Arabidopsis thaliana: one gene and its partners. The protein of the gene in region 1 interacts with the protein of each later gene in a pairwise test. Each region holds a gene or a part of one and is shown in the gene's direction. Other genes may lie near its edges. The genes, in order: LHW, AT5G50010, YAB3 and AT2G41130.

Region 1 (6,172 bases):
CATCTTCCCGCAGAACTTTCATTATCCTTTTGTAACATACTGGCAGTTACATTTAAAAAAACTGTCAAGATTACTTGAAATCATTCGGTGTGGTGCCTTCTAAAAACCTCCCAATGCTCAAATTATATCTTTATTTTATTTTATTGTGGTCAAAGTATTACGATGTTCTTTTAGTGATTCAGTATAATGTTCATAGTTTTTCTGTTAAAAATATCATAGTAATTATAGATCGTTTTTATGGGGAAAAAAAAACTTAGTACATAGTAAAAGTAGTTAATAATCTATTAAAAAATAATATGGTTTGGACCTTTTTGCACCCACTAAAATATCAGTATATAACTAAGTTAAATCTTTAAATTAGTAATTACGAATTGCTTGATGTTAAATTAAAGTGTTAATGAGTTTTTCAGAATTTAATTTAACATGATAAATAATAAAATAATCTAAATATTAAAGAGTTTATTAGAAAATAGGCATTTGTCTTGGTTATATATTTATTTTAAGGTATTTCCTTACATGATTTTCGAAAGAGGTACTTTTCTCTTGTGAAAAGTCATCCTTATCCTCCTCTCATTTGCATTATCTTTTACCCAATTGAAGCAATAAGTCGTGTCTGTTTCCTATATTCGATATTTGCATCACCAATTGAAGCAATAAATCGTGTGTGTTCCCTATATTCAATTGAAACAATGGCGATATATGCATCATCTTCTAAATCGCCACTCCTGCAAAGACAACAACTCGGATTTTCAAGAATCCAAGTTTTTATATGGAAAATCACTGAGAGAGAGATCATTGTGAGGGATTTAAACCGGTTTCATCATTTCAAGAATGGACTTGTGGTGATTACTGGTAATTTGAAAAAGACAGGTGAGACGATATTCAAAAACCGGTTTCAACTCATTGTTATTTGTGAACCGATTTATTCTTGGTATAGGAAGACTCTGGGTGGGAAAAGATTCCAACTTTGCTTACGAAGGTTAAGTCGCAACAAAGAAAGCTTCTTTATTTCCGCCATGGACACAGCCTATCGTAGTCATGTGGACAGAACTGAAATTCTCTAAAATCAGAACCGAAATTCCACAAAATCAGAACTAAAGTTCCATAAAATCTATAAATTTTTTCGATTGGGTTCCCTATATATTATCTTAGGGTTTAGTATTGTGTAATTAAAAAGAAAAATTAAGTTTGCTTGAAAAACAAAGAAGAAATCGATTTAATCAGATTTTGCAACTATGTTCGATAAAGAAGAAGAAGAAAGAAGACGATGAAGAAGAAGAGAAGGAAAAAAAGACAGGGACAAAATTGTCCCGATTGAAGCAATAAATCGACACTGTTGTATTCAACTGTGGAAAATACCTATTTTGAAATAACTTTATTTAAAATGCCTATTTTAAATATAAGCTCAATATTAAACACCTTGAACTTATGTGTATTTATTATTTGTGTGTACGGGAAGCAATACCAGAAAATGAAAATCTCTTTTATTTATTGACAATCCATAATCCTACAAATCCTCTAACTTCTAGACTTATGCCGTTATTAAATATTTTAATATATATATATACATATATATTTTTAATAATTATATTTAGGAACGTCTTTTAATTTATCTCCGAGGGTACACTTTTTTTCTTTATCTCTTTTGTTTTTATCTAAAAACAAACTTTTAGGATATTACCTCACGAAAAAAACAATAAATTATTCGTCTAGCACCATCGGAAAAAGACAAAAGACTTCGACTACCCCACTCAGTGGCACAATCCTGTAATTTCTACTAAACATTGATACCCTTTCTCGAATTCATCGTGTTCTTTGTTTTTAATAAGATGGTACTTTTTCCTCATTTTTCAATCTTTTTTTCACCAAGAAGCAGAGAAAAGAAACATTAAAGCAGAGAAAAAACAAAGACAAATAATCTCCATTTGCTTTCTTCTCCATCTTCTTCTAATTTTCTTCAAGTTTTATCAATGGCTGGTGTTACTGGAATCTTAAAGCTTGAAGCTTGGAGCATCTTGTGAAGAAGATTAACTAGTTTCTTGTATTTTTCTTTTCTGGGGTTTTGAGTTTTTTTTTCTCTTCCTTATTACCGGAAGTAATGGCATGTCGGAGTATGATCGCTTTTAGTTTAGATCCTGAAAGAAAACAAAGTGGAGGACTTAGGACAAAACAAGCTGGAAGAGGATCTTGCCGTGGAAGTTAGTCTTTGTTCAAATCCATTTTCCTCTTAAAGAATGTAATAATGGGTTTTTATTGATTGTTGTAGATTTGTTAAAAAGTTTTGTTTTTAGACCTAAAGTTTCGATTTTTTTCTTCTGGGCAGTTTGAAATTGCACTGTTGCAAGTGAAAAAGTTTGTTCTTGTTGGAGCTTAAAGAAGAGAGAAGAGAAAGAGAAAAGCTATGGGAGTTTTACTAAGAGAAGCTTTAAGGTCTATGTGTGTTAATAATCAATGGTCTTATGCTGTTTTCTGGAAAATTGGCTGTCAAAATTCTAGGTACCACTCTTATTCTCCTAATTCTAATAAAGTGTCAAACTTTATTCAGTCAAATATATTCAGTGTTTGTTAGTTTAAAGTTTGAGAATTTTTTGATAAGGGTTTAAAACTCAGATCTCGAGGATGACTAGAATTATTTATCTCTGTTTAATTCTTGGAGTTTTGTGTTTGGTTTGATCTTGTTTGTCTTAAAGAATCTTTCGATTTGTAGTTGTTTTGTCGACAATAACTATATCCTTATTATTTGTTTATGAATTGTCTAAAGAGTTCAAGTTCTTTAACTCTCTTGTCATTTCAATTTTTATTTCTTGTCTTTGTTCGTTTTGTCTTTGTTTAGCCCAAAATCTTTTGTAATCGTCTTTTTGTGGTATTCTAACTTAAACGATTGTTGCATATTTTTGTCATGTGTATTCTAATTTTTTTTTTTTGATGTGTTTTTTTTACTTGTTTTTGTGCAGCTTGTTGATTTGGGAGGAATGTTACAATGAAACCGAATCGAGCTCGAATCCTAGAAGACTTTGTGGACTTGGTGTTGATACACAAGGGAATGAGAAAGTTCAGTTGCTTACAAACCGAATGATGTTGAACAATCGAATCATTTTGGTAGGTGAAGGTCTAGTTGGCCGAGCTGCATTTACTGGACATCATCAATGGATTCTAGCTAACAGTTTTAACCGCGATGTTCATCCACCCGAGGTTATTAATGAGATGCTTCTCCAATTCTCTGCTGGTATTCAGGTTTGATACTTTCTTCATGTTTTGAACATCCTAAGTTAGGCTTCTTTAGTGTATATATATGTTCAAGCTCATAAGAACTGTTTGTGTGTGCTTATTTTGTTTGTTCTTCAGACTGTTGCAGTTTTTCCGGTTGTTCCTCACGGTGTTGTTCAGCTCGGTTCCTCTCTGCCTGTAAGTTCAAGTTACATTGTTATGTGAAGTGAGATTCTTGTTCTTGATTTAACTGTGAATTGTTTTTTGTGTGTTCAGATTATGGAGAACTTGGGGTTTGTGAATGACGTGAAGGGTCTTATCCTGCAGCTCGGATGTGTTCCGGGGGCTCTCTTATCTGAAAACTACAGAACATATGAACCTGCTGCTGATTTTATTGGAGTGCCAGTGTCTCGGATAATACCTTCTCAAGGACATAAGATCCTCCAATCTTCGGCTTTCGTAGCTGAAACTAGCAAACAACATTTCAACTCCACTGGATCATCAGATCATCAAATGGTTGAAGAATCTCCCTGTAATCTTGTGGATGAACATGAAGGAGGATGGCAAAGCACAACAGGATTTCTAACAGCTGGAGAAGTTGCAGTACCTTCAAATCCAGATGCGTGGCTGAATCAAAACTTCTCTTGTATGTCTAATGTGGATGCAGCAGAGCAGCAACAAATCCCATGTGAAGACATCAGTTCGAAACGCTCGCTTGGAAGCGACGACTTGTTTGATATGTTGGGTTTGGATGATAAGAACAAAGGTTGTGACAACAGTTGGGGAGTTTCACAGATGAGAACAGAAGTACTCACTAGAGAGTTATCCGACTTTCGGATCATTCAAGAAATGGACCCTGAGTTCGGTTCTTCGGGGTATGAACTTTCAGGAACAGATCATCTGTTAGATGCCGTGGTCTCGGGTGCTTGCTCCTCCACAAAGCAGATCTCAGACGAAACTTCCGAGTCCTGCAAAACCACCTTGACTAAAGTTAGTAATTCTTCGGTTACCACGCCGTCTCACAGTAGCCCTCAAGGTAGCCAGTTATTTGAGAAGAAACATGGGCAACCATTGGGGCCATCATCGGTCTACGGGTCTCAGATAAGTTCTTGGGTTGAACAAGCGCACAGCTTGAAGCGTGAGGGCAGTCCAAGGATGGTGAACAAGAATGAAACTGCAAAACCGGCTAATAACCGGAAAAGGCTTAAACCAGGAGAGAACCCAAGACCAAGGCCTAAAGATCGCCAAATGATCCAAGATCGTGTCAAAGAGCTGCGTGAAATAATACCAAACGGTGCAAAAGTAAGTGAAAAACTTATCTGTTCTTGGCAAATTAAACAATCCCTAAGAAAGGTTATTACTAACAAAGAGTACATGTGGTTTTTATTTAACAGTGTAGCATTGATGCACTCCTTGAACGTACAATCAAGCACATGCTCTTCTTGCAAAATGTCTCCAAGCATTCTGATAAGCTGAAGCAAACCGGGGAATCCAAGGTATAACATAAAACAATAATATTTTGGTGTCTCTCATGGATTCTTGATCTAACGTTTGTTGTATTGTTATAAGATTATGAAAGAGGACGGTGGAGGAGCAACATGGGCTTTCGAAGTAGGGTCAAAGTCTATGGTGTGTCCAATTGTCGTAGAAGATATAAACCCGCCTCGCATTTTCCAAGTCGAGGTAACATTTCTGCCTAAGGTTCTTAATAAAAAACACTCAAGATCTCGGTTTTGATCGAACGTTTTCTGGTTTTGTAACAGATGTTATGCGAGCAACGAGGATTCTTTCTAGAAATCGCAGATTGGATCAGAAGCTTAGGGTTAACGATCTTGAAGGGAGTCATCGAAACTCGAGTAGACAAGATTTGGGCTCGCTTCACTGTTGAGGTATATTATATAAGTTACACAAGGTTGTTTAACTTGGAAAGATGAGATTGTGTTAGAATGTATCTTATTTAAACTGAAACCGGGTCGATATTGGATTGTAGGCGAGTCGCGACGTGACGAGGATGGAAATATTCATGCAACTAGTGAATATTTTGGAGCAGACAATGAAATGTGGAGGAAACTCTAAGACTATTTTGGATGGTATCAAAGCTACAATGCCTTTACCGGTTACTGGTGGCTGTTCAATGTAATGACACAAATTATTGACCGTACCGGATTGCTCCGGTTTAATAAACCGGGCTGGTTAAAAGCTTGATTCATATAGAGGTTACGAGCGGACCGCTCTCAAGGATTTTAGGCTCGCTATGACTAACTAAAAAGTCAGTCTAAACCAGAGATGATGATTTTTAAGTGTGTTTTTTTTTCTCAACTTTATGTTTTGTACATTAGTTGCGAATTTTCATTTGTGTGGAATTTTTTAATTTTAATTCAGTTTTGGAGTTGTAAAAAATTTAGTTAAATTGTTTAAAATTATTCTCGACCAGTAAGAGTTCAAACAATTCACGGATTTCAAGACCGGTAAAAAGAACCGGTCCATCAACAGCTTTAACAGTACACAACAAAGCTTCACATGTTACAAGTACCTTTATGTTACTTTGATTAGTAACTCTATGTATATAATTAGCTTATTATTAAAAAAAAAAACACAAGAAGCTCTACTTTCAATAAAACACACTCTTTATTAAGAAACGTGAGGCCTATAGAAGAAAAGCTAATAATAGTTAGTTATAATACTTTTGTTAACAGCCTTATAATGTGCTATCATGTGAATTCATAATCTCTAATGGATGTCTTAATCCATTCCTAATATTTACATTTTCTTCATACTACTAATTAGTGGATCAAACTTAGTCCAACATCAAATTCTCAAAACTGCGTTTTTGTTTGTTGTCTCAAAAATGCTTTATTTACACTTTTGAGGTACCTAAACTTTGCTGCAAAAGGTGCATGAACATCTTTGTGTCTTGCTTTAGCCATCTCTCCACTCTATAGATTATGATGGGATAATCGACAGC
Region 2 (4,591 bases), on another chromosome or scaffold:
CAAAAAAAAACATCTCATATATGTGTATTTTTTTTAACCACGCAAAATGAGAAGAGTGTTATTTTATGTGTATAAAAATGGTGGACCTAGGATATGATGATTGCTTTAGAGACACACAGAAAGAGAGAAACGGTGGAGGGTTTGTTTTGGGCCCCTGACACCATTAAAGCCAGTAAGGATTAAGTGTATCCACTTTTAATTAATCCTAATTTATATACTATACGGATTAGTAATATTATCCTAATGGTTTTTGTATAACTTAAATATTTGGCGTGGTAATATTAAATGTTACTCTGCTTGTATGATTGTGAGCAACCAGATCTCTCTTATCTGTACATCAAAGATTTGGTTCAGGTTACTAAATCATGGGTCTTCTACATCTATCACTATTGAATATAGTTTCAGATGTCTTTGATTGTCAATGAAAAATATCTTGGGTATAATTATTACTAGTCAGTGCCATTTTCTGACAAGAGAGAACGTGTCTGTTTCTTCTGGGGGATTAATTAGGTTTAGATAATTTTGGTATCAAGTTTTATGATTGATAATATACGATTAAGTCATTGGCTAACTAGCTAAAAAAACTTTTTTTGGCTAACTTGGTAATTTTTGGTGATGCAGGTTGTTCATTTGGGTTTCTGTATAGAAATTATCTCCTTTTTTGTCCTTCGAAACTTATCTTACAGTATCTAATATTGAATTTATATTTTCATAATATAAATTATTGTGGATTGGTCATAAATTATGATCTCAATAATAATGTTCTTATGTTATCATTATTTGTTTGTATTTTTATAAGTCAGTGAGTATGACTTGTACCGTTCCTACTTCTATAGTGAAAACGGAAGTCTTATAATGATAATGAAGCTTGTTTTTTTTTCTTAACACTTTAGTATATATAGAAAAATATACATATTTTGGAAGAGATTATAATAAAGAAAAGATGAAGAGCAATCAATTGTCTTGTAGGATTTTCCTTTCTTCTTGTTATATTTATCGTCACATATTTCATCGTTTTTTCACTATAAGTGCAATAGATACATTTTCCACGAAAGTGTTTTGGAGATCCATATGAAAATAGACCAACCAGAATGGGAAGACAAAACATAATGTGAAACCCAAAGAAGATGGAAATGGAGGGTGCAAAAAGGTAAAAAGTAAAAGTAGAAATGATTTGGGGTTTGAACGGTCAAGCCATTGCAAACGAGAGTATTTGAGAAATGATTGGACCTTCTTCTTCTTCACATTGGATACTTTCACTACTTTTCTTACTGACGATGAACGAAAGTACGAAACCAACAAAATACATAAGCGAGCGTCTTATAAAACATGATTGCATGAAGTAAGTATACTTTGGCTTCAAATGGATTTTTTTTTTTGTATAGCTTCATTGATGATCATTTTTATATTATGTGAATGATATTTGTGTTTCGGTGGAATTGAAAGATACTAGATTCCGTTAGCTGAATTTGTTTACATGTGATGAAAAGTGAAAGTCGACTGATTCTTCTTTCCAACCAAAACAAGCTATTTGGCATAATTTATTTTTCCACCAAATGGGCAAATGTATATCTTTTAGCCAAATATAAATAAGCCGAAAAAGCATGTTAACAACAATATGGATTATGAGTATATCTTACTAATTAGTAATTACATCGAGAAAAATAAACAACTATTTAGATTTTGAACCCACCAAATTCAGCTAATTTTCCCAAAAACATTTGTTATCGGATTTGGTAAACACTGTGGCATCACGATACCTAAACTTTAACGCACGCACGCATCTCTGTTATGATGAAGGTCACTTTCGTCTTTTTCTCTTGTATATATCTTCTTCCTCGCTAACTTCTCTTCGCCATCACTGAAACTAATATCTCTCTGCTTCCTCCTTAGAACTTCTATTTGCTTCTCTTGCATTCCACTTTTGTGAGTTTCTATTATCTTCAGTTTTCGAGATAGAACTTATAAACTCTGTAATAATATGCATTGTGCATATTTTTCTAGGTTAAGTTATTTGTTTTAAAGTGTTCTGTTTCTTGCTAGCACTAAATCTATTGCTCTCGTTTATTTTGCAGATTCATTTGAAGTAGTGAGATTGACTCCAGAGATAAAACAAGAAAGAGCAACAAAGCAACAGCATGCGGTGGTGGTTGTGTCTTTCTGCTTATGTTTTTCGTACAGTAGTAGTCTTCTGTCGTGTGATTCTGTAAACTGCGATCTTACTTCAGACATAGCTTTTTTATGTAATGGGGTCGTCTTTTTTCTTCACATTCCCTTACTTTGTCCGCCAAATTATTTAAGACTTCGTTTGGATACTCTGTTTTGGGAGAAGGAATCAGTTGGGGAGAAAGTAGTTATGGTTTGTCAATCAGCGGGACAGACAAGATTTCGTACACTCAAACACGAACACGGTATCACAGGAAACATTGTAGTTAGAGTCATTGCATGCTTTCAACCTCTCCAAGATTGCCAGGTTATTTTCTTGTTTGATGAGTTTATGTTATTGCAATATATTTAGATTTTTAAACCACCAGAACTTTTTTTTATTGATTTCGTTTTAGCTTTGATGTTGTGTATTTTGCAGGCTGAATATTTCCGTCAATTGTTGAAGCCCGTCACGTAGAGTAGCTCGATACTTATCGTTCTTGTTTCAAGCCTAGTTTCTTCTATCCATTTAGTTGGTAAGTTCCAGTCTTTGCACACATAATCTTTTGACCTCCCATTCTTGATTATAAGTAGCTGATTTGTTTGAGATGATGATGTCCTCTGTTTTGGATAGTTGATTTGTTTAGTGTTGGATGGGACAAGATCGTGGGTTTGGGTTTCCTACTCAGCGCTTGTGTTCCTTGTCTTCCCTAGCTCTGTCTCATCTCGGGAAGCAAGACTTGAATTTAGTATCTAAAACCTGCGGCGACACCACCGACATGTTTTCTACTCGTGGATCTTATCAAGTTTCTACCCAAGTCTCTCAATCCTATTTTGATGGGTATTGTGGATGGGTTCATGGGTCATCCCACCTACAGCAGCAGTTCTTGCCTCCTCAAAACCAATGTATGAAGCAAGTACCTCTTCAAGTAGACGGTGTTATATCTAAAGCTGAGGAACAATGTAGTCAGAAGAGGTTCCTAGTGTTTGATCAGTCTGGAGATCAGACGACTTTGCTACTCGCTTCCGATATACGGAAATCTTTTGAGACCCTAAAACAGCATGCCTGTCCTGATATGAAGGAAGAGCTCCAAAGAAGCAACAAAGATTTGTTTGTTTGTCACGGAATGCAAGGAAATAGCGAACCGGATTTGAAGGAGGATTCGGAAGAACTAAATGCATTGCTTTACTCTGAAGATGAGAGTGGTTATTGCTCTGAAGAAGATGAGGTTACAAGCGCAGACCATTCCCCAAGCATTGTAGTATCAGGCCGTGAGGACCAAAAAACATTTCTTGGAAGCTATGGACAACCATTAAATGCTAAAAAGAGAAAGATACTCGAAACCTCGAATGAGAGTATGCGGGACGCTGAATCGAGCTGTGGTAGTTGTGACAACACAAGGATTAGTTTTCTGAAACGTTCTAAGCTGTCTAGTAACAAGATAGGAGAAGAGAAGATATTTGAGACTGTAAGCCTCTTGCGCAGTGTAGTCCCCGGGGAGGAACTGGTGGACCCGATCTTAGTCATCGATAGAGCCATTGATTACCTTAAATCATTGAAGATGGAAGCGAAAAATCGAGAAGCATGAGGTTCTTTGTTTGTAGGATACCTAAGACATATTAGCATTGGCAAGTGGACTTGGTTTCTAAACAAAGTAGTAGACATATTGGACCGTGGTACTCTTGTCAAGCTACAAAGGGATCAGGTTGTTGCTAGTTGGAAGATAAACCAAATAATGTTTCGGAGTTGCAAGAGAAGGAATTGATATTAAAATGCAAATTGAATATTTCATATTAGTTGATGATTAAGATGGATTGCGAAATTTTAATTTCAGTCGTTTAGCTGTTTGTTATATCATGTAGTTGCTTCTTCTTTTTCTATAAGATTTTGTCGGTGTGGTTGTTATTGTTCATCTGTGAGTCGTGTGGCCGAGAGAATCATAAATGGGAAAGTTGAATAACCATTTTCAATGATAGGCCAATTATAATGGTAAACACACAATTAATTTAACTTTTTTACAAATGATTAAAGATGTTTGTTTTCGTGCCAAACAGACATGTGATTTGGTGGGATATTTGGCAGTCTTTTGTCAATATGGTAGCAATTTTTGCCTATTGTTTCATGATTAAGACTCTTATCACTTGTCATTTCCTGACTTTTGTGCATAGAACTAGTGACATGTGATATACTGTAGTCCCATCCAGTTTATAAGTTTTGAATACATGTCTCTAGCCATTCAGAATAAATCTTGCAGCTAAATGTTTTAGAAACCGGACCAGATACCGGTTCATCCCAATTTCAGCCACATGAACGATTCTTGGTCTGCAGGACCGGACCGGTCCGGTTTTTAAAACATTACAAAAATAATTTTATATGCGTAATAAAAAAATGAAGGAACAAAACTGTAATGTTCGTCTCGGGAGACACAATCCAGAAACGAAACGC
Region 3 (5,531 bases), on another chromosome or scaffold:
TCTGATATGGTATCAGACCCCGATCCGCACATACTCAACCCGATCCACATCGGTCCGGCCCAATACTTGGCCCGCCGATCCATGCCCAAACATATCGAGATCAATGGCTAGAAGAACCATCATCTCGAGGGGGCGTATTAGGGATAATATCCCACATCGGAAGTTGAATAAGATCTTAAGTGGTATATATAAGATATGGGCCTCTTCACCTATTGCCAATTGGTTTTAGGTTGGAAACCCACACTCTAATATGGTATCAGAGCCTGATCCGCACATACTCAACCCGATCCACATCGGTCCGGCCCAATACTTGGCCCGCCGATCCATGCCCAAACATATCGAGATCAATGGCTAGAAGAACCATCATCTCGAGGGGGCGTATTAGGGACAATGTCCCACATCGAAAGTTGAGTAGGATCTTAAGTGATATATATAAGATATGAGCCTTTCCATCTATTGCCAATTGGTTTTATGTTGGAAGCCCACACTCTAATAAACTCAATACAAATACTAAAGTTGCAAACAACTATACTATATTTGCTTGAAGTTCTATTGTGATAGGATTTTGACTTACAAAAATCATATTCTATGTCTACACTATATATTGTGAAACCGGATAGCCATAATATTTACAAAAACTTAAACTAATTTCAGATATAAATAAATTTAAATTTCACTATGACCTAGTAATTATCACGAACAATTGGGAAGTTACCACAAAATGGTGGTCCTGTATTATGGAATTTAGCGAAACCACACACTTGCGGGTAAAAATAATGATGACAAAATGATATACATTGGAATGTAGAGAAAGTATATACAAATACTAATAAATAGAAAAGGGCATGGAATTGACGAGGATCGAGGGAAAGTGTGGTGTGGCAGAAATGTTATTAAGTGTGAAAACAACTGATGAATGAGCCTTTGCTTAATCACTTCCATGCACAAGTCCCTTTCCTCTTCCTCTCTCTCCCACTTCATCGAACTTTGCGTCCTTTAAAGAAAAGAAAAAACAAAACATTTTTCATCCAATTGAATTCAAACCGTAACCAGATTAGATTTAACTTCGTTTATTTTACATTATCTTCTTCTTCTTATTTTGCGGAGAAGACTTGTACAATGACCTCAATACGCTGAAGAGTTGGATTCACTGCGAGTGTATATGTGCATATAGAAACAAAATATCTAGCTATATGACCACTTTTAACTCTAAATATGGGTGTAATATGCCAAGGACTTTCTGGAGATCCACCACAACACACATTCAAGTTCAAGTTCTGCTGCTTTTAGGTCTATGAAAACAACACCAACCTTATTTTCATATTGTTCTCTCTTTATCTCATGCATAAGTATATTTTCATATTGTTCCCTCTTTATTTTCATGCTTTTAGTTGATATTTTTTTTGTTATTGTATTATCATTAGTGCGACGACACAAAGTCACAAACCATGTAACAAAATGCTTAACCAAAATAGAAAACCTTAACAATTCCAATATATTTTCTGTTATTGCATTATCAATTATCATCAAATTTTTTTCCACTGTTGCATTATCATCATTGCGACGACACAAGGTCACAAACCATGTAACAAAATGCATAACCAAAATAGAAAACCTTAACAATTCCAACTTTAACATGTGAATTAATATTATCTTAATTTTTGGATGTTCGACATTCAAATAAACTCCTAATTAAACCCTATAGATATGGTTAATCTTCTATACATGTGTCACGTACGACACTTATTAGCCAAATTGAAGTTTTGTTTTTTCCGCAAATATATAAGCGGTTTAAATAGTTGGTAAAAAAAAAAAAAAGTTAGCATGTTTGTCGTATGTACATGTTTGATGCTGCACAAATCTTGTCGTTATAAAACTTTGAAATCTTTATATCTATTATTCCTCACCGATCGGCTACTAATTCAATGGTACTTGATAATGATAATTAGTCCCAAAGTAGAGTTTTTATCTGATTATATAGAAACAAAGACTAGTTCCGGTTTGATATATAGAAGAAAGAAAAAGGATGGATAGGAATAATAAAGAAGATAAACCGGTTCAAAAGGTAGTAAATGAGAATGCAGGTATGCAGCTTATCTCTACAATGGCCTCTTCATCACATGTCGCCAATTTGTTTAGGTACAGTGTCTCTTCATATTTACATAAATAGATATCTCTCTCTCTCTCTCTCTCTAAACCACATCTTCCTCTCCACCGTTCTTTCTCTTCCTTCTCTCTCTGGACTTCAACTTCTGGAGAAGTACAAGACATTTATAAAGTACTGCTCATCACCCAACACTAAACACAATTGTCAAAAGGGTGTGGTGGAAGGAGAATCTACTTCTATCTGAACATCGATCAGTCATATCTTTTCAATCAAATCAAAGCCCTCCTCTCTCTCTTACTCCTTTTTTGTTTTAAATCAAGAAAAAGACTCCATGTCGAGCATGTCCATGTCGTCCTCCTCAGCTCCAGCTTTTCCACCGGACCACTTCTCATCTACGGACCAGCTCTGTTACGTCCATTGCAGCTTCTGCGACACTGTCCTTGCTGTAAATTTTGGATTATTCTTATATCTCATCTCAATATTTCAAATTTATAACTCTAGCTAGGGTTTCACATGAATTACTAGTTAATTAATGTGTGATATTAATTGGCAGGTGAGTGTTCCTCCGAGTAGTTTGTTCAAGACGGTGACGGTCAGATGCGGCCACTGTTCGAACCTTTTGTCGGTGACCGTGAGCATGAGAGCTCTTCTTCTTCCATCCGTTTCCAACCTTGGCCATTCCTTTTTACCTCCCCCTCCTCCTCCTCCTCCTCCAAATCTTTTGGTACATCGGTTTCATTCATCGAAACAAATTAGGGTTCTTTCATAAAAAAAACAGAGAGTAATAATTAGGGCTTTTCTTCTCGAGAAACGCAAAATTGTGAAACTCAATCCAAAAATGTTTAATTTTGTTAGCATCCCGGGATAGATCTAAGTAGTTTGGCAATGGCTAGTTAACTAGGGTTTCTTTCGAAAACATCATATCAAAGTAGTTTGGTTTGATTAGTGTTTTAAGTTTTTTTTGCCAATTAGTTTGCTGATTTCATTTATTAGGAGGAAATGCGAAGCGGAGGGCAGAATATAAACATGAACATGATGATGAGCCATCACGCTTCAGCTCACCACCCGAACGAGCATTTGGTTATGGCGACTCGCAACGGAAGATCAGTGGATCATCTACAAGAGATGCCTCGGCCACCACCAGCCAATAGACGTAACCTTCCATCTTCTACTCTTTATTTCAACATCTTCATATATATATATATAAGAAAACAAAAACCCTAATTCACAAAACCTTATCCATTCATTTCTTCAACCTTTTATATATACACTCCAAAGAATCTCGTTTGTTTATAATGAATTTATAAGTTTTGATTTCATTTTTGTTCCCTCGGTATGTGACTTCTCGCATGCACTTTTTTTTTGGTCAGAAAACAATTTCGACAACAAAAGGAAAATTAATAAGTGATGTGTTTATCCCCCGGAAATCTAGCTAAACCTATAGATGCCAACTGATATAGTTTTGGGGGTAGATCGTAAGAAAGATAATGATGAAGTGATGATGATAACGAGCAAAGTGAGAGGGAGAGGGAGAGAGAGAAAGGAGGAAGAGTCGAAGAGTGATTGTTTTTTTTTTTTTAATTGTTTTTTTTTGGTGAATTTTTAGATTTTTTGGGGAGGCACAATAAAAACCAATAATGTTTTTTTTAACAAAAGGGTTTGATTTGGAATTAAAATTGAATATGTTCTGTTTGTTTGTTTGTGGAAAAGCAGCCCCAGAGAAGCGACAAAGAGTACCATCTGCATACAACCGATTCATCAAGTAATAAGTTTATTCCTTTGCTTAAAATGGCATAATTAAATTTCCCTAATTAACCATTTTACTCATATAATTAAGGGTCGATAGATGTGACAGATTTGATTTCATTATATGATATAAAAATAAAAATGTTGACAGAGAGGAGATCCAACGTATAAAGGCAGGCAACCCTGATATCAGCCACAGAGAAGCCTTCAGTGCTGCTGCCAAAAACGTACCATTTCTTTTTTTAATATATAAAACTAATTTTCTATATTGCATTATATCCATAATCATACAATCTCATTTTAGTCTTTATGAATTGAACCTAGCTAGATTATTGTGGAGCTACATTGATACTCACATTGCTTTAAATTAAAAACATAAAACAAAATAGTTACCGTAATAATCCATAATTCATAAGCTTTATCCAGCATACATTAGCTAGGACTAGCCTTAGGATCTACGATCTAGGGTTTCAGTAAAGTTCCCTAGCAGATATTTTAGTCTGGCTTTGTATTCGTATATTTTTGACCAAGTTTTTATGTTATGTATAAGATAAATACACATTAATGTTAAAAGAGCTAAGTATATGATGTAATATGTATGAAACAGTGGGCTCATTTCCCTCACATACACTTTGGACTCATGGCTGACCATCCTCCCACGAAGAAGGCTAACGTGCGCCAACAGGTTACTTACTACTACTACACTATATTTATTTATTCAAATGTATATAATCAGGAGCATGCATGCATTGATCATCAAAACATAATCGAGATATTTTATTTTGGTGTAATGAAGGAAGGAGAGGATGGGATGATGGGAAGAGAAGGGTTTTACGGTTCAGCTGCCAACGTTGGGGTGGCCCATAACTAGCTACGAAGACTTTCCCAATCTTTTGTAATCTTCAAAATGTGGTTACTTTCAGCTCAAACTTAACTTTCTTATTACTATTTTATGATATTTGATAATCGATCAGGAGACCTTTTTTTTTTTTCTTAAAGAAATTTTCGGAACTACTAGAATTTTCTCTTGGAATTGAAAATATATTGTTTTCTCAGTTGCCGTGTTATATATTTAATATCAAAAGCATGCAGTAGCTAAGCTAGCTAGGCTTTACCATACGTTAATGATACTGTCTTTTTCTCTTTACAATTCCATATTCGAATTTGATTTGTATATAACATATTGGGAAGAATCATCAATATGTATTCAGCTCAAAAGAATTCAACAAAAAAAAATGCCTATTATCAATAAAAATTCACTGGGCTTTAGAAGGCCCACAATAGTATAATGGATCCTTTTTGTTGGGCTTATTTCAGTCAGGGAACAATAGCCTTGATTTTGTTGGGCTAACCGCTAACGCATTAAAAAAATCACGGTCAATCGGTGATCGTCAAATCTAGTTACGTGGCATTTAATATTTAAAACTACAAAATTTACCAGTCTTGGCTCAAAAAAATATTTATTCACTTTTCTTCTTCTCTGACCAAAATCAAAATTTGTTCGATTCTCATTCTTCTTCTCACAGTCGTAAACCCTAAAAAAAAAACAGAGAAATCAAATTTCAATCTCGAAGGATCTACAAAGAAGCATGACGACCGGAGATCTCGTTAATATCCATCCTACTGAGCTTAAATTCCCCTGTAAGTTTTTTTTTTCCGATTGATTTGATCCCTCTCG
Region 4 (4,672 bases), 5.5 Mb from region 1:
AGAGTTTGTGAAGGTTATGATGGCTAAGTGAGGATTGAAACAACTTCTTCGGCTTTCTCCTTTTTTTTTTTTGACTACCTTCTTATGTAATTTCATAAAGAATGTTCCTTCGCTTTGTTCTAAAATTTCATTCATGGCTGGTTTTTGCTGGTTAAAAAGACAGGAATGTTATGTGTTTTTACCTTTTGTCTAAATGACTCATTGTTCATGTTATTGACAGGTTCAGAACCTGATTCTTGAAATATAACAGTAATGAGATCTTCTTCTATTATCTTCGTATTGATCATTCTCTTTAGAATCTGTCGTCGTATGTAGAAGCAAGAAGATGCTTATCGGTTGCGGTAAGGGTAGGGAGCTTAACCCGAGTTGGCTCAGACGATGAATGTAAAGGAGAGAAGAGTATAGAAGTTGTCTCAGACATTCCATTGTTGAAGTCAAGCACAGTCTCTAAGCTGTAAATACTCTCTCCAGCTGCATAACCACCTAAGAGTTGATACGATCTGTCTGATTGATCCATCGTCAAACACATATCTTCTGAACCTATCATCAATCAATTCAGATTTCTTGAGTGTCACAATTAGGTTCAATTTGCTAAATGGTTTCCTCAATCAAAAATTCAAAATTCAAAACTTACAGGCAGCAAGTTCAAGCTGAGTTTGATAAACGAATTCAAGAACTGCGGAGACATCTCGCTCGAATTCATGAAACGGTCCGTCTTCGAAATTCATCTTCCTTAGCTTACATACTCCTTCTCCTAACTCCATCATCGCTCCTTTATGGTTCTTCAAATCCCAAAACACTCACTAAAATTACCTCAAACGTGAACGAAAACGAGCAATAGATGGAGTTAAAAGGAGAGTAGATTTACGTTGTTGAATAGATGGTGAAATCCAACAGCACATTGAAGAATTCCATGGATTAAGGTACGAGTTGGTTCCTCTGCTTGAATCCAAAGAGCTTCAAGCGCGTCATGACTTTTGTAATAATCCCTCTTGTTGAAGAGAGTCACTGCTTCCTCAAAGCTCCAATATTCTTCCTTATCCTCGTCACTATCCTCTTCGTCTTCTCCGGCGTGGTCGTTGTATCTGACGATTGATCTTCGACTGAAACGGACGCGTATGGAGCTAAATTTTGTGGAGGCTCGAATCGTTGAAGCAGTAACAGAGATTGGAGAAGAAGGGATTAAGGAGCTGAAGAAAGAAGATGGAGGAAGCGTGAAAGATGAAGGAACCTGGAAATGTTTCGAAGAAACTGCCATTATCAAAGTCAAAGGTCGAGCTCTGTCTCTACTGCATGGTTCTGGCTTGCGCCAGTTTTGTGGTCACCGTTTTACCAAAACTTTGTAATTGGGCCACTATTTGGGTCCTTATTTTTTATATAATTTAGGCCCATATTTTATGGCGAAGCCTTCCTCATATCATATGGTTGTCTCATTCGTAAATTATTTTTCTGCAGTAGCTTTCTCTTATGATTATCAAATTTGTTGATTATTTAGGGCTTTTATGTTGTCAAAAAAAAAAAATTAGGGCTTTTGAATACTCAAGTTTTTCCAGACATTAAGTTAAAACAAATACTGTATATTATTTAATTTTTGTTAAATAACAAATTTATGTTATCGCATTGCACTGTGTGAGATTTATCCGGACAAAACACAATGATAGAAGCAGCATAAATCATATCAGGATATGCCTTTTATTGTTTATCTTTAATACCTTAGAAATGGTATCTTATCATAATAACTTAAAGGATCATTATTATGGTAGTGGTAAAACATCATTATTATTCATAAGTAAAGATTTAAAGAATGTTCAATTTTTTGAGATTTGTTTTTGAATTTTTGAATTTTGGAAATGCAGTAATATACTATATAGTCCCAAAAGTCCGTATGTATCTTCAGTTCAATTGATGGATCATATAGAACTATTTAGAATGATGATGGTGGCAAGACAATGACCTAATTAAGGACCCTTCCTAAAAATTTCAAACTCTATAGCAACTTTTTCCCCACCAATATATATATAAATACAAAAATCAAGTATTTAACATCTAAAATAAAAAAAATAAAAAAAATAATCTACACTCTCTACCCTCTCATTTCACGTATATATAATCCATCTTTTAGGACAGAACCCACCGAAAGCTCCACAAACCCCATTAATTAACAAAAAACCAAAAGAAGGCGGCGCAAACAAAAGATAATGCAACCAGAGACCTCAGATCAGATGTTGTACTCGTTTCTTGCCGGAAACGAAGTCGGCGGTGGAGGGTACTGCGTCTCCGGCGACTACATGACGACTATGCAGAGCTTATGTGGGTCTTCGTCGTCGACGTCATCGTATTACCCACTGGCGATCTCCGGCATCGGAGAAACGATGGCTCAAGACAGAGCTTTAGCTGCTTTGAGGAACCACAAAGAAGCTGAGAGAAGAAGGAGAGAGAGGATCAATTCTCATCTCAACAAGCTTCGTAACGTACTCTCTTGTAATTCTAAGGTAATATAAACTTTTGATACTTTTTCATTTGGCGTATGTATCTCTCCTCGTACATATGATGTTTATACATCTGTACGTATATATTTCTTTGAAATTTTAAGAAAAGATTTTTGAAATGGGTATATAATTAGGGTTTTGCATCTTCTCTAACCCAGAGTTTACATCTTTAAAATTTTCTCATGTTTCATTCGATTTGGTGTTAGCTCATGAATACTGTACTTTTTCATGATAACATTTTATAATCATTTGGTTTCAATTGAGTCTTTTTTGTCTTACTATTCTTACTTATTAACAAGCACATATTTATCAAAGATGATCCCTAATTTTCTACATTTATAATTCTAAAGATTGATATATATTTTGATTTGAATATTCAAAACTGGCGAGTAGTGATCAGATGAGAAAAACGAAAAGCTTCATGGCCTTTTTGTGAAGCTCGTTGGGATAGTATATCACTTTTTGGGAAAGTTCTCAAGCTTTTTCAGTTGATTTGATTTGATACAAACATCAAATTTCAACTTCTTGATCCAAACTTTTCATTGTAATTTCATGTTTCTATTTTCAGACCGATAAAGCCACACTGCTCGCCAAAGTAGTTCAACGAGTCAGAGAACTTAAACAGCAAACCCTAGAGACCTCCGACTCCGACCAAACATTATTACCATCAGAGACCGACGAAATTAGTGTTCTACACTTTGGAGACTATTCAAACGACGGTCATATAATCTTCAAAGCCTCTCTATGTTGTGAAGATAGATCAGATCTCTTGCCGGACCTTATGGAGATTCTCAAGTCTCTTAACATGAAGACTCTCCGAGCTGAGATGGTAACCATTGGTGGTCGGACAAGAAGTGTTCTTGTCGTAGCTGCTGACAAAGAGATGCACGGCGTCGAGTCTGTGCATTTTTTGCAAAATGCTCTCAAGTCGCTGCTTGAGCGGTCAAGCAAGTCGTTGATGGAACGTAGTTCTGGTGGTGGAGGAGGAGAACGGTCAAAGCGGCGTCGTGCGCTGGATCACATCATAATGGTGTGAAATGATGAGAATTGAGCACACTAAAAAGTCTATAATTGATTAATATATATAGGGTATGATCATAATTAACTTGGTTATAATTACCAAAACCTTTTTTATTCCTCTTTAATAATATATATGTTATATGGTTTTAGTTACTAAGTCTTGGGAGTGTAAGCAAATGTTGTAAGTAGGTTTGGTGTGTTCTTTTTCTTTTCTTTTTTTTTTCTTTTTCAAGAAAAAGAAAAAGATCTATATTATATATAAAGAATATTTGTCATGTTATTTTCCTCTATTTATATATATCTTTTTGGTTGTTGGTGTGATGACTAGGGTTTTGAGATTGTGGGAATATTTGTCGACGTAGAAGAATCTAAGTAACAGATGTGATTGGTGAAGTCCAAAAGAAACTAGGGTACTTCGATTTACATATACACACTATACATGTGAATATATATGTATATATAGTGAAGAGAAGGTCTATGTTTGTATGCTGTGAGTTTCAAAGCGACCCTTATGTCACCTTTGTCCCCAAATGAATCCAAACTCTCCTATCTCTTTCTTTGTTCATGTCTTTCTAAATGTGTACATTTGACCACATTTTTCAGACCAAAGAATATAAGCAGTGCCTGGTTTTCTTTCTTTCTTATATATTCGTATATATCCATGTGATTATGACGAACTGTTTTACTTTTAGTTGAGATTAATTAAGTGTTAGCGAAATGTCTAGTCTACTGTTTTTGTTGATCATATGGAAAAGACGTGCATTTATGCATGACACAAAAATGCTTAAACGTATATTCGAAAAAGTAACACTTTATATACGTTGTATATTTAGGACGCCAAATTTCATATTATGTACGGCTACATGTACAATGAAAGTGTGATGAGACTTGAGAGGATTAACCAAAAATACTGAAAACTTACTTTAATTTACTTTCTTTTAGTTTATTTTACTAATCGAATTTTGGCTCTAAAGTTTCGTGTGAATAAGAAGAATATGTTAGAATGTATAATGATGTGTATCCGTATCTAGTGAGGTTTGTACATATCTGTTATATTTATAATGAAAGTGTTTTGAAATATTGTAGAGATACTATGTTTGCTATGTATCTCTATTCTGGTTTCTTCAATAGGTATCCGTTTTGTTTATAGAAAATGGCTCACC

Evidence for each region.
Region 2: the proteins of LHW (region 1) and AT5G50010 interact in a two-hybrid assay, tested with the Arabidopsis thaliana proteins (one large-scale study listed by BioGRID).
Region 3: the proteins of LHW (region 1) and YAB3 interact in a two-hybrid assay, tested with the Arabidopsis thaliana proteins (one large-scale study listed by BioGRID).
Region 4: the proteins of LHW (region 1) and AT2G41130 interact in a two-hybrid assay, tested with the Arabidopsis thaliana proteins (one large-scale study listed by BioGRID).

Annotation. Positions count from the first base shown.
Region 1 is NC_003071.7:11,648,494-11,654,665, forward strand, and holds LHW (transcription factor-like protein), read left to right. Parts: upstream 1-1,865; 5' UTR 1,866-2,236; intron 2,237-2,323; 5' UTR 2,324-2,401; coding exon 2,402-2,496; intron 2,497-2,954; coding exon 2,955-3,234; intron 3,235-3,345; coding exon 3,346-3,405; intron 3,406-3,483; coding exon 3,484-4,509; intron 4,510-4,601; coding exon 4,602-4,703; intron 4,704-4,776; coding exon 4,777-4,890; intron 4,891-4,970; coding exon 4,971-5,096; intron 5,097-5,197; coding exon 5,198-5,347; 3' UTR 5,348-5,650; downstream 5,651-6,172. Other genes in the region: AT2G27229 (Pentatricopeptide repeat (PPR) superfamily protein), read left to right, coding at 690-1,064. UniProt on the Arabidopsis thaliana protein: Transcription activator that regulates root development; promotes the production of stele cells in roots. Coordinately controls the number of all vascular cell types by regulating the size of the pool of cells from which they arise.
Region 2 is NC_003076.8:20,346,758-20,351,348, forward strand, and holds AT5G50010 (transcription factor bHLH145), read left to right. Parts: upstream 1-1,857; 5' UTR 1,858-1,926; intron 1,927-2,075; 5' UTR 2,076-2,473; intron 2,474-2,584; 5' UTR 2,585-2,681; intron 2,682-2,779; 5' UTR 2,780-2,798; coding exon 2,799-3,734; 3' UTR 3,735-4,073; downstream 4,074-4,591. Other genes in the region: AT5G50020 (DHHC-type zinc finger family protein), read left to right, coding at 4,453-4,484.
Region 3 is NC_003075.7:71,997-77,527, reverse strand, and holds YAB3 (Plant-specific transcription factor YABBY family protein), read left to right. Parts: upstream 1-1,951; 5' UTR 1,952-2,438; coding exon 2,439-2,552; exon of another isoform or gene 2,553-2,639; coding exon of another isoform or gene 2,640-2,660; coding exon 2,661-2,831; intron 2,832-3,100; coding exon 3,101-3,260; intron 3,261-3,820; coding exon 3,821-3,869; intron 3,870-4,004; coding exon 4,005-4,080; intron 4,081-4,460; coding exon 4,461-4,538; intron 4,539-4,649; coding exon 4,650-4,724; 3' UTR 4,725-4,983; downstream 4,984-5,531. Other genes in the region: AT4G00170 (Plant VAMP (vesicle-associated membrane protein) family protein), read left to right, coding at 5,443-5,494. UniProt on the Arabidopsis thaliana protein: Involved in the abaxial cell fate determination during embryogenesis and organogenesis. Regulates the initiation of embryonic shoot apical meristem (SAM) development.
Region 4 is NC_003071.7:17,141,162-17,145,833, forward strand, and holds AT2G41130 (basic helix-loop-helix (bHLH) DNA-binding superfamily protein), read left to right. Parts: upstream 1-1,995; 5' UTR 1,996-2,198; coding exon 2,199-2,492; intron 2,493-3,057; coding exon 3,058-3,525; 3' UTR 3,526-4,122; downstream 4,123-4,672. Other genes in the region: CAM2 (calmodulin 2), read left to right, coding at 1-31; AT2G41120 (DUF309 domain protein), read right to left, coding at 293-540, 635-782, 869-1,258.